Lepisosteus oculatus: one gene and its partners. The protein of the gene in region 3 interacts with the protein of the main gene of each other region in a pairwise test. Links are inferred from orthologs where the notes say so. Each region holds a gene or a part of one and is shown on either strand. Other genes may lie near its edges. The genes, in order: cpne2, impa2 and uba3.

Region 1 (4,425 bases), on a different chromosome or scaffold from region 3:
GTTCCAGTGTTTTGTACCAACAACGGCAAAAATAAAAAGCAGGTAGCACTGATACACAGCCTTCCAGTGGTGCAGAACTCCAGTACGCCAAGACCACAGCATCTTTAATGCTTCATTCTACCTGAGCTTTGTCGTAACTGCATTGATAGGCAGCTTTATTAGTTCAATTAAACAGTATTTAAAAGATCCGTGTGTTTCAGATCTGACGAGCCCTGCCTGACAGCGATCCTGAGCTCTGAGCAAGAGATCACAGCTCCACTCTGCTTGCCAGTAATACAGCCCCTGAAAAAAGATGACAGATTATCTTTAAAGCTAAAGGCCACTCTTGAAAAAGGACAAAACCTTCATGCTGGTCAATTCATGTGTACATTAAGAATTCAGAATTATTTTACGCCTTATTCCATCCACAGTGTAATGCGGTACAAGACTGGACGTGATTCTGCTCTAGAAAACCTGTTCTGTTGCTGAAAAGCCTCGTCTTTGCACCAGGAGGAGCAGTCCAGCCCAGAGTGATGCAATCAGGCAGGCTCAGTCTCCGCCACGCCCAGAAGACCAGTGAACACTAACAGCGCACGCACACACGCACGCACAAACCCATGTTTTCAAAGTGTTATGCCATCTGATTGCAACAGTCTGAGCCTGTGCTGAAAATAGCTCCACACCACATCAATGACTGACTGCAACAGAGCCCAGGTGCAAGGCAAGGGAACACACCCACTCGCCACAAGCCGAACTTTGAGCCTCTGCCCACTGCATATCCAGCTAGAAAGACACGAAGACAGCAGCACCAGATAAACACTTAGCTTTTAGTCAATGATCAAACCATCAAGCGCAAGAGAGGCAAATGAGATAAAATGAAAATCTAACAGCTCAACCCCCCAGGTCCATCCTCGGGGGTGTTTTTCTTCAGAGCCTGACCTGCGGTGTAGAAAAAGCACCACCTGGGCACACGGGGCTCCTGTGGAGAAAGAGCTCCTGACACACTCCGCCACAAACACCTCTTCGTGCGGCAAGTGCATTCTTTCCTGCTTTCTCTTCCTTTTACTCTTGCAAAATAGAACAGCAATTACAAAAGGCACTGAAATGTACGTTTGCTTAGGTACAGGAGAATTTCTGTTCAGATTATTAAACAAAACAGGTGAATGTTAGACCCCTTAGCATCCTGTATTTTCAGGGCTGCTCTCTATATATCAAAGCACTTTTCACAGACAAGCTGTTAATAACAACCATCTGAACTACATCCTCTAAACCTCAGCCAGTCTAATATAGCTCTCGCTCCTGTGTGGGTTTAGAGACTTGTTTCTGACATTTTGCTTTGCGGCGAGAAGCAGCGAGAAAGCACTTACTGAGCCCACAGTTTAAAAAGTCAGCAGTGGTTTCTGGCTCTCTCCAAACAGCAGAACAGAAAAGCATTCACCAGATTAAGAATTAGGGCACCGATTATCCTCTCCAAGGCATGAAGAATTCACCCTTCAGGAGTTTAACTAATCAGAAGAAGAATAATTAACATGTTATCACATATGATGCAACCAGCAGCGTCTGTCCAAAAACAGACAAACAAGTTAACTAAATAAATGTACTGATCATTAGAAACAACAGATATCAGCGAATGGACACCCATCTAGCCTGTTTGATAGTCAGTAGCTAATTGAGCTGAGGCTCTCATCCAATGATTTTTCATAGGAACCCAGGATATTGGATTCACACTACTGCTAGGCATCTTGTTCCACACTCCCACCACCCCTTGTGTAAAGTAGTGCCTCCTGTCCTGACTGGAGGAGCTTATCCAGCCACATCTTGAAAGAAGCCAGGGTATCGGCTTCATCAACACGGCGGGACATCTTGTTCCAGACCCCCACAAAGAGCTGCCTCCACGAAGAAGAGACCTGAAATACTGTCAGGGGCACGGTGGAGGTGTGGGGGAGAGTTATGTTCCTGATCTGATCCGTCGAGATGCCCCAGTAACCTCTTCATTACAACTCTACCACTTTCAGACTACGGTACTGCAGACCGCCTGACAAAGCGATCTCACAGCTCACTGCCCCGATCAGAACTGCCTGCTGGAGAAGTTAAAACACCTGGGACTTGGGAATCCTGTCCGGAAACCTCCAGGCAGAGCAGGGCTGTTCAGCACACCGATCTCCCTCAGTCCCTATTAGGAGCAAGTTTCTCTGTACTATCCAACAGGAGAGAGAAAAACAGCTGCTGTCTGAGCTCACACTCAACTCTTTCAAGACCTTAGTACTCGCTATCTCAGACTTACAGAAATAAGCTAACCATCTCTTTTCAGCATGGAATAAACCTAGTACTTGTTCCTTTAAGGCTAAGGATGTTCACGTTTCTTTTTCAGCATGCCTAGCCAACAGTAACATACACAACTTTATTCAGTCACAACATTTATTTCAAGATACAATCCCTGGTGTTTCAGCAAAGCAATGAACTGCTCTTAAACAAATACGTAGCTATACTTCCGTTTTTACAACACTCCTTCTACCACTGAAGGCATCTACCAGGTTAAAGTGGTAAAGACTGAGTGATCATGTTCCTGGAGAGGCCAAATCACTGAAGATCAGATCTATTTTGTTACACTTTTTATGTCCCTGCAGATATTTCCAGTGACAGGCAAAGAATATCCTGCTCAATTCCCGAAGCAAGGACAGGGTTCTGTGAAACTGCAGGAGACTCACCCCTTATTCCAAAGCATTCTTTCAATCCGAACAGCATATGCATCATGAGATCCACACTCCAGCAGGCAGACCTCGGTGAATCCACAGGAGACACGCACTGTTTCTGCCAAACTCCACTGCTCTACTATATATAACCCTGTCTTAAGTAGCACCTTTGGTATAATAGCTACATCCTACATGATACAGTCTCCAGTTAGAGACTGTGACGTGATGGAAAACTCAATCCAGACACAACAACGGTATAATCTCCAAAACCATAAAGTGCTCAATGGAAACTCTGCCTCGCACAATCTCATCGTGTAAACACTACTTACCTGGCTACTGAAATCCCTTTTACCTCCGTTTTAATTACTGGTTGCACCTTAAGTGGTGCATTATCATGTGGTTGGTTAAACGGAAATAGAACAGTGTCAGGTTCATTCTGGGGAGGTGAAGAGGTGTGTGTGTTGGGGGGGGGGGGGGGGGGGTGTTTGCTGGGGCTTGAGGAGTGCCGGCTGCACCCCAGATCTCAGTACACGGGGGACAAGCTCCTAGACTCCCCGAGGGAAACACTGGCACTTGTTCCTAGAACAAGTCCTAAATTTCAGAGACGAGGATCAACGAAACACCTGGTGCCGCCTGGTATCACCATGCCACATGGAGCCCAGCCTGTTCACACTCGCACACAGTGAAGAGTGCAGCGCTGAGCTCACATCCTTCTCTCGGCCTCCACTGTTGAGCCATGCTGAGGCCCTTCTTGTCAGCTGCACAGCTTGGAATCTGCCGCGCGAGATCAAACGACAGGCTACGCTTCTAAAAACGAGTATCCAAATATTCTGGTTTCGTGCTTTGTGTTGATGAACTAGAGATCCATCGGGAACTGGACTTCCTGTTGTCTGAGTCTCCCCTGTGGATCCATGTACTTGCTGTATGAGCCACACTGGGTTTTGCTCGGGTAGATGTGCTGCAGACTGCTGGCGAGTGCTGTGTGGTCAGTAGGGAAGAAGGGAAACACTGTGCTATTACAGGCCATGCAGGGTGAGAAGACATCAGGCTCCCTTGATCTTGCTTTACAAGATGACTGAAGTGCCTAGTCAGTGACTGGAATTACGCAGTAACACTGCTAATTCACCAGAGAAGAGCTGTAAAAAGCCATTACCTAAAAATGGAATCACACGAGTCTGAAAACACAACCCTTTCTGGAGTGCTACTCTAATGGTCAGCTGACATACCGCAAGGCGCACTTAGGAACAACAATTAAGAAAAACCTCCAGTGGTTTATCTGAAGAGCTCTTGGTCTCCTCCTGGTAAAATCCTCTCTATGTTCAATGCCTCCTCCGGGAATGGTCCCGCTGAGCCACTGAGCCAGTATCTCTCGCAGGGAGAAAATCATACAGCAACAGAGCTCATGCATCTCGGCGTAATGGGTTGAGCTGCGATGCAGCAGCAGTCTTATTGTTATCTCTGTGTGTAAAATGCATCCCAATTTAATTTGAAAGCAGTCCCACGTCACTAAAAAAGAATTATGTGCAGTATTGGATGAGCAAAATAATCTTTATTGATTGCGGGCCCAAGGCCATTAGCATCAAACACTGTACCATTCACAGGAGATGAAACAGGCATCTCCTGAGACACTATTACAGGCCCAGAGAGACTCAAAAACTTTAAGACGCAGACGAAATTGCCAGTGAGATGATGTACAGCCAAGAGGCACGAGGGAGGGTAGAACTGGCTCTAAGCTGTCCTCTCCTGCCTGTCT
Region 2 (4,425 bases), on a different chromosome or scaffold from region 3:
ATCTCTAAAGGAGCTGTATTCACAAGCCTGCTCGTTTACATTGAAGTAAGGCCGCCTCACTTCACCAGTGGATTTGCTGCCTCGTTCTGAATCACATAATATAACGCAGAGCTTACCTGGACATTCAGTCTACTCTGTGGGGGAGGTGTGGAGGTTTTACAGTGTGTGTCACTTCAATTCCAGCTGTGGTACTGATGCAAGAAACACAAGGACGAGCTGTCGTGGCATGTTGTGGCCGCAGGACTGCCACACTCCTCTGCTCCCCTGCGCGTGTGAGCGTGCGCTGCCGTGCGCGGTGCAACACCTACCTGTGGGAAGGGTACCTGTCCCTGAGAGTGGAGATAATGAGCTCCTCCACCTGCTGGTCCGTCTCGGTCACCAGGTCCACAGCCGAGCTCTTCGTCGTCACGCACTTGTCAAGCTTCACCGCCTCCCGGATCACCTGGAACCAGAACAGGCACCAGAACGTCACTAAAGCCTCACTTCCAGTAGGAGCGCTCCCGGAAAATCAAACACAGTAAACCTCATTTAAGAATGACTGAAAACTCTACTTTTTCCTAAATCAAGTCTTCCTAAAAAACGTCTTAATCTCCGAGGAAACAAAACGTTCAGTTTTAATTAATAAAAAAAATCTTCAGTTTATAACTAGTTTCATACACGTAGAAAGAGGCTTAATTAAACCAGGACTGCACGGCTGACACCGGACAGCAGCCATCAAGCACTATAGAGACCCATTACCCAGCATCGGTGGAGAAGTGAGTAATACCGTCAAAAAAATGCTGGATTAATGAGGAACTTTATGTAGGCCGGATTGAAAAAGCCCAAAGTGGAATTTAGCTGGGAAACCAAACTTAACACCCAGTTACTTACTCATATTAATAACCACGTAATCAGGAGATTCGTTTAAATTTCCATCCAAAGGACATTCTGGTCCAGAAGGAAGAGCTCCATCTACTCATCCACCAAAACCACCAAAAAAAAAACCACCTAATTTTCCTGAGGTTCTCCATCCTGATATCTCCTTACTTAGCTTGTGGTATCTGAGCAGATCAGGCTACAAGTTGGTAAAGCGAGAGCACAGCGATTTACTAGATCAAGTTTTCATCAGCGATTTGGAAAGCAATCTAGAAAGAAAATATCATACCTGAAATCTACAACATAGCCATATTGCGTTATGCACGGCATAATTTAACAGAATTCACGGTTAAAATACACATTTCCGATCACAAAGTCACAATGAAAAGACGTCAGGAAATGACCTCATTGTTTCATATGATGGACACAGGCATCTATCAGAATGAATACCGAATTGAGCCGTCCACTGGTCATTAATTATGCCCATATGACTTGCTATGGGAAGAGGGGACACGGTCTAAAATGAATATACAGTAGTTTAAAATGCAATATGAAATGGAACCCTGCGGTCCCACTCCAGCAAAAGTCACTGTGCTGCATCCTTGCACAATTTCCGAGCCCAGCTTAGCCAGCTCACAGCTTTGTCATCTGGGAAACGGAACCACACGGGCAATCAGCAGTCCCAGTCACACTCCTAATACACAACAAGTGCTCCCCACTCCAGTCGATTCAATTATTCAGTCTGGAATAATTTACCAAATGGGTTTCATCTCTGGCAGTATAGCGAAATAAAAACACACACACACACAACGGAAGCCATTAATTTTAACCCCTCGTCATCTTCACTTCCACGATCTCCTGCAATTGCCTGTATGTATGAACAAAGCTCCCCCGGTTTATTACAGGATCAATTTTACTCTTCGCGTTTCTGTAACACAATATAATTATTAAGATGCAAGACCGGCTAGCTACCTTATGGTACAGGACACCACATTTTTTTCGAATTACGTTCTTTGACACAGTATCTAAGTATGACTTGTAACAAATATCTAGTGGTGTACACAAAATGGACCACACAAAACAATTGTTGCCACGCATGACTGGTGTTTTGGGCTAAAGTTTCGAAAACTGCGCTGATCATTGCATCATTCTAAATGATCAAAAAGCACGCCAACGCATTTTTGATCCCGGGGAAGGTACCCTACAATAATATTAAATACATACTCTGGGATAGTACCGCTGGAATACACACAACTCAAATGTAGGTAAATATGTATTTAGTGTTCCTCGATGCATCCTAGAGATAACCAAGCTCTGAAAAGGACTGTACCTGACCAGCTCTACGCGCTGTTTGAACAGCAAACTCCATGCATTCCTCCCAGTGCCTGTTGTTCTCCGCTGAAGTCATGATTCCCTGCCAATAATATGGAGATATTTCCAGACTTTAAATACGTTCCGATTCAAGCAGTATTTCCCCCTTCGAGGCGATCAAAACATCACAGCACAACCCGCGGTTTTTTGTTTTTTTTCCTGGTCTAGGTTGATCGCTGCTGACTTCCCCCGTTATGTGAAGAGACCGCCCCCAAACCTTGGCTACTCAGTTTCCAGTAATGTGCTCCAGCTACACACCGATCTGCATCTCGGCACCTACGGCCTGTATTGGAGTAAAAACAGAAAGGCGAGCAGCAGTACCGCCGATCAACGTCAGCTTCACATTAATGAATGCCGAGATTTAGAAACGGGTCTGGGGAAACATAACATAATCACTCTGAAATGAAGGTACGCAGCAGGCTTGACCTTCTTAGTTTGTCACATGACAGAAATCGGAGCTGCGCAGCTACAAATTTATGTAATGGGTATTTATTAAACCATGTAATGTCCAAATCAATGTTTACATTTTAATCCTGCATCAACACACTTTTTTTTTGCATTTAAATCCAGTAATCCTTTTTTTTTAAAAAAAAATGACTTCACGAAATAAAGCGTAGTAATACTGCCTGTTTATTTCAATTCAATACGTTGCTAAGCAAAAACAAAAATCCCAATAAAATGAGTGAAACAAATACCATAAGAAGGTGAATCAGTAGTGTTGTGTCATATCATTTTTGAATTACCAATAATTACACATTTTTTGTATGTTCGAAATTTATAGATAAGATCGATGAAGTAGTTTGGTATTGTGTTTGATAAAACTCGCATACAGGAAATTGAAGTACCTCACACTTTAAAAAAAAGCTGATGGAGCCCCAGGACATAATGTTTACATATTTCTGTTAAAACGTAATTAAATCAAATGCAATTTTAAACATTGAGTTAATCTGTAAAATGATCTGAATGTTTTAAGTAACATTTTCTACCTGACCTAAAAAGCAGAGAAGTTGTATTGCATGTAAACATGGAACCACAGTACTAGTTAGGGAATCTATATTAACTCAGCAAAATAATATAAAATATAAATACATTCTGTATAAGAGAAAATTATTTCAAACAGGTAGATTATAAGGTGGCACAGTGGTCTGCTTTAGTGCTTTACAGCACTGGGTTCGATTCTGGAGCTGGGGTGCTGTCTGCCAAGGGTTTCTTCCCACAGTCTGAGGACATGCTGGTAGGTTAGTTGACTTCTGGGAAAACTGGCCCTAGTCTGAGTGTGTGCCCTGTGTTGGACTGGTGTCTCCTCCAGGGTATATCCTGCCTTGCGCCTGGTGCCTTTTGGGATAGGCTCCGGCTCCCCCCGTGATCCTGTATAGGATGAGGATGGCGGGATGATTGGAGTCGAGGCGTGATTTGAATTGGCGAGCTCACACGAGTGTTACTCTCTTGGCTGAGGAAAAACGACAGCCTGTCTGTGCAGGACGAAGCTGTCAGCTGCCCCGAGGAGGTGATCTTTGAAAGCTGAAGGGGAGATTCGAACCTTTGGTCCTGAAAACGCTTGGGTCTCACACAATGAAAGGCACCAGGGAGTAAGCAAGAAATCAGATATGTACGTGGGTGAGACTAGGGTTAGACCTCACTCCTGACCTCTATTATAAACTCCCACTGACAATGTGCTTCACGCGTACTGATAGTGTAGTTTCTACACTGTGATTCAAAGTGTACACTTGACCAGAACCGTGTTCCTGGCTTTGTTCCAGGAAGATAATTAGTTTTGTGCATGTGAAATGTTTAGCAGCAGCAAACATTTTGTCATGAATGAAAACTAATGAGCTTAATCTAATCAAAATCACAACCACAGCAACACTAAAAACATGAATTTTAGTCTTTTGTTAAAAAATCCTAATAGATGGACAAGATAACTTAATATACTGTACATACTGTATAAAAGCTACAGCTAACAAAATGACATGTCATCTCCAGGAGAGGGCTCCAGCTTCAACCAAATCGCTTGGATTAATGTGTATGTCATGAAAATGTTTTAGCAGAGGAATATTTTAGAGCTGAAAAATTAAAAGATGATGTACAGTAACTTAACAAACCTATCCTCAACAATATTTTAAGAAAATCAAAGAGCAGCAATTCTCTTCCTACTTTACATCAATGATCTAAATTCTGGTATAGTTGGTAAAATAACTA
Region 3 (4,425 bases):
TACATGAATATGGCGAAAGCCAGACAGGGCCTGATAACATAATGGTAAAAAGTGATCTGAATAAAAGGTTTACAAATGCCAACAGCGTTTTATTTAAGTAGTCACTTATTCCAAAAAAAAGTACAGTGCAATCAACAATGCTTAAATTGTAAAACAACAGTTTTCATCCAAACTTTCCTGCACGTGGACATTCATACTGAAAGAGAAACAATCTATCAAACACAGATATTTGACAATTACTGTTTGAAGTATGTGAATGTTAGGTACATTTTGTTCAACTTTCTTTCCTATTCTCTAAATATAATTTTAACATAATTTCCGGTTATAAGTGAAGAACATTCATGCAAAAGACTTCATGAAATGGAAAAAATGTACAAGAAGCATTTTAATACGTGCATTTCGCAGTTCAGGAAGTCATTCTAAAACATTTGTGCTCCCAGATGAAATATTTCATGAACAGAAGCATCAAGGAGAAAACAATCATCATGAAAAAAATTCAAAGCGTTCAAAGCTCCCTGCATTTTTTCACCCTAAGAACAATGCAAAGCATTTGACTGCCCATTGAAACACACAAGATCTTAACTTCACACCAGTTTACACTGATCTAAAGTTTTTTTTAAAAAAAAGAATCAGCATCATACCAGATTTTTAAGAAGTTCACATCCAAGCCCTCCAGCTCCAATGACTAGTATCTTGCATGTGTCCAATAAAAACTGGAGTGACTATAGTTAAAACACAAAACCAGAAAAGAGTTACTATGAATACGCACACAAATGGCATACAGAACTAAAAAGAACAGGTGACAATATGTACCTGACCATAATTAAAAGAGTAAAAATGTATTTTAAAACTGAAAATGGAAATATCACTTTTAAGTGTTGATTTCTTTTAACTTTACCATGTTAAACATGTTACATTGTAAAACAGAAGTAGAGTCTGAAATAAAGACCACAATGTGTACTGGATTTTTACTATTTTATTAGTAAATTAAATGGCTGCTTTTCAACTGATATCAACTATATGATCAATTGGTACCGAGTTAGCAAACATTTTTGTATTAAATTCATGGCATCGTATTTATAATACAGTATGAAGCCATTTGTAGAATTTATGTGTATAGGTGGAACTAAAACTATGTGATGGAAATCATGCAAAACTGTCAACTGCATTTTCTAAGAAATGTAATTCAAAACATTCAACATTTTAAAGCTTGTGGGGGTTCGTTTGCTGTGCTTTCCTTTCCCCCCCAGTACAAAACACAACTGGAGAAAGTGGAGTTGTCTCACGTCAGTGCTTGGTTCAAAATCGGGGTGTGTAAATGGTCCTGAGCGCTCGAGAAACTTCTTGACATGGCTCCAGCGACCTGCCCAGTCTCCATTGTCCCCACACCCACCATCCACAGCCATTCTGCACAGAACACAAGGAACTCAGCTACAAACATCAGTTGGAAAACAACTTGCGTGTCTGCTGTGCTCACAATGCCTGTAGTTTGAAAACACAATACCAAAGTTGGCAGCGTGTGCAAAGACTTTAACTTACAGGCTAACTGGTATTGTTAGCTTTTGAGTACGCAGTACATTGTTGGTCAAACATCTAAACTTGTACCTTTATTTGTACTATTGTACCATTTTTTTAATACTTCAAATGTCAATGTAGGTATATCATAAATAAAAATATATATTATCCTTTCAGACACAAATAACTTCAGAATATGTAGCTTTAAGTACCTACATACATTGACCAATCGCACAGTAACCACACCTAAGGTACATTTTTTTTTTGGCAAAATACAACAGAGGTTGTAATAAGATGGTATTTGACCATAATTACGCTTGTTTAACTTATTTATTATGTATAAAGTCTGTTTAAGACATTACTGTTACCAAGAGGAAACTAAATTTGCCAGAAGAACGTTTATCAATAAATAGGGTTAAGAATCTTTTTAATTAATAGAAATAATTATCTGTCTGGTACGTTTTGATTAATTCTCCAGATATATTACTGGTTGACATGCTATTCACAATAACAACTGTTGGGGTGTAACAGTTACTATTCCAGCCTAAACATCGTTATCACAATCCTGATAAAACAAGCACGTTATGTTTAATATATTCCCTTTTGAAAGTTTACAAAACAATGTAACCAAACAACACAATTAGAAATCGGTAGAGGCCTGTATTACAGCTATTGTATAATTTTAATTTATATGCAATGTTTCTATAAAAGAATGGAGTTAATTAAATAGCAGTCGAAATAAGAAACGAGCGCAACATTAAGATGTGAAAATTCCTTATGAACACGTTATTAAAAACATGTAACTAGTTACTATAAGCGTGACTATAAACTGCGATACATTTGAGCAGCCTGAGGCCTTACTATAATCGACTGTAAATTTTAGAATATTTCAATTTTCCGTCCTTTTATAGACAAAACATTAATGTGTCAGTCAACGAATGGAAAAAAGAATTTTCACATTAATGCTCTACTACTCCGTGCGCTGTGTAACCTCAAACCTGCTGGCAGTTTATATATTTTTAGCATTTCAGTACTAACTTCTCAGTCTGCTCTTCTACTCTCCTTCTTTTCTTCTCCCTAAAAAGAGAGAATAAAAGAAGGTTCAATCGTGTTCTCTTTTTTTCAGCAGGTAATACATGAGATTATGAGCACTAATTTGCAGATCTCTCTGTCCTCTCCTTTCACGGATACTTACGGTTCCTCCACATCCGCCATATTTCCTGCTCCGTCTCCTCCCACAATGCCGCGGTGGTTAGGAGCTGCAGCTGTTTGAGGGAGGGAGATTTGAAACAGCACAATGGAAAGATTTTTCAAGCCAATTCAAGCCAACAGTCCAGCCCCAACCAACCAGTTCAAGATTTATACGGCATCAGAAAGATTTTTGTTGCTGGCAATGTTCGCGTCACCCCGATCATACGTGACATAAAACGTTCTGTGAACATTTTAGAGACGCCAGTCAACCTAGACAGCTTTTTTTGGAAGGTGACAGGAAAGCAACCCACTTGGAAAAATAAAAGTATGAGAACAACCAAACTCCACACAAAAGTCACTCCAGTGTGGAATAAAACCCAGAAGATCTAGCAACCACACCTTGTCTTACCCTGCCTTTCCTTACAATGTACAGTATATGAAAACATCTGAGATCACCTTAAATAAAAGAAGAAATCTAAGATACAGAACTCTTGAGATACTTACTGTTATTGCCCCAGATGGAAAATTTGCTTCATGGTCTGGTAAAAAACAACAAGGTACAGTAATACAACATGAATTCATAAATAAATAAGAAAATATATATATAAGTAAAATAAAATATACAATCAATTGTCCAAATTAAGCAAGTTATTAGCCATTGGATTAAAAGATAATGTAGTTCTATTGCATTTGAGTCTAAATCAGTCCCCAGATGGAAGGAGCTCAAATTCACTATACAAGGGGTAGTAATGACAGTCCATGATAGACACACTATTTGTCTGATGTAGATGTCTGCAGTGCCGCATTTCGCACAAGGCACTGTAGGCACAGTACCTGGGGCCTATAATCTTTTTAGTGCCTACGAAGGTGGAAAACACTAGTGACTAATGAAAAATGAGCTGAAACAATATGCTTGTGATCGACTCTACGTGCTCCCAATCAATAATCTTACGCTATCTAGCGGCTGTTCTAGAAACTAGAAGTATCGAGTGATGGTCGCTCAACTCGCTCCATCAATCACGTGGTTTAGCATTAGAATAGTTTAAAGTGCATCATGTAAATCAACGTAATTCAATTGGCATATACTCCTCTTTTTGCACATTTCGGCGTGAAAGTGCCTAGAGCCTACAAACAACAAAATCCGTCCCTGGTTGTCTGACAGCTGTAGCTGTCATCCACCAATTATGTTGTTGGCTACCTTAGCTACACTGTCCTGCTCAGTCTGATTTTATTGTGTTTATTAAGGTTACCAAATCAATCTACCACAGAGAACAGGGCAAATTCAATGAAAGTTCCTTGGGATAAAGTGATAGTTGTAGCACCCAAATTAATAGAGTGGAGTCTTCTTACATATGGCATGTGTTTTTCTCAAAGGTTAGTTTGTAATTAACACTAGTGCCAAGATAAGAGTAATATATGACTATTCAGTTTCAGACCTTCGATAACTTTTGGTTTCGCAGCTGGTGGTTGTTTTCTTAATCAATGATCATGCCTTTGGTTTTTGATACATTAAGTTGAAGACAGGAGTTGTTACACCAGTCAACAAAATACTCCATTTCAGGCCCATGTCTAGGAGCAGACTTAAACACCTGTTTTTTTCTCAAAAGACCTACAGCAGTCAGTATGCAGAATGTACAGGATGGGCAATAGCACAGAACATAGCAACTTTGATAAAAGACCATTTACCCTAATTCTTTGTGATCTTTACTTTTTAATTCC

The links.
Region 1: the proteins of uba3 (region 3) and cpne2 interact in binary tests that used the Homo sapiens proteins (3 or more experiments, as listed by UniProt). The two-hybrid records come from large-scale screens. The link is inferred for Lepisosteus oculatus from reciprocal best matches to the Homo sapiens genes UBA3 and CPNE2.
Region 2: the proteins of uba3 (region 3) and impa2 interact in binary tests that used the Homo sapiens proteins (3 or more experiments, as listed by UniProt). The two-hybrid records come from large-scale screens. The link is inferred for Lepisosteus oculatus from reciprocal best matches to the Homo sapiens genes UBA3 and IMPA2.

Annotation. Positions count from the first base shown.
Region 1 is NC_090715.1:1,261,841-1,266,265, reverse strand, and holds the start of cpne2 (copine-2), read right to left. Parts: upstream 2,785-4,425; 5' UTR 2,734-2,784; coding exon 2,688-2,733; intron 478-2,687; exon of another isoform or gene 343-477; intron 1-342.
Region 2 is NC_090701.1:57,181,921-57,186,345, reverse strand, and holds the start of impa2 (inositol monophosphatase 2), read right to left. Parts: upstream 2,634-4,425; 5' UTR 2,548-2,633; exon of another isoform or gene 2,485-2,547; intron 2,270-2,484; 5' UTR 2,264-2,269; coding exon 2,186-2,263; intron 443-2,185; coding exon 309-442; intron 1-308. UniProt on the Homo sapiens protein: Phosphatase that can use myo-inositol monophosphates, myo-inositol 1,4-diphosphate, scyllo-inositol-1,4-diphosphate, glucose-1-phosphate, beta-glycerophosphate and 2'-AMP as substrates in vitro.
Region 3 is NC_090699.1:50,387,958-50,392,382, forward strand, and holds the start of uba3 (NEDD8-activating enzyme E1 catalytic subunit), read right to left. Parts: upstream 2,765-4,425; 5' UTR 2,731-2,764; coding exon 2,711-2,730; intron 2,593-2,710; coding exon 2,554-2,592; intron 1,408-2,553; coding exon 1,287-1,407; intron 723-1,286; coding exon 642-722; intron 31-641; coding exon 1-30. UniProt on the Homo sapiens protein: Catalytic subunit of the dimeric UBA3-NAE1 E1 enzyme. E1 activates NEDD8 by first adenylating its C-terminal glycine residue with ATP, thereafter linking this residue to the side chain of the catalytic cysteine, yielding a NEDD8-UBA3 thioester and free AMP.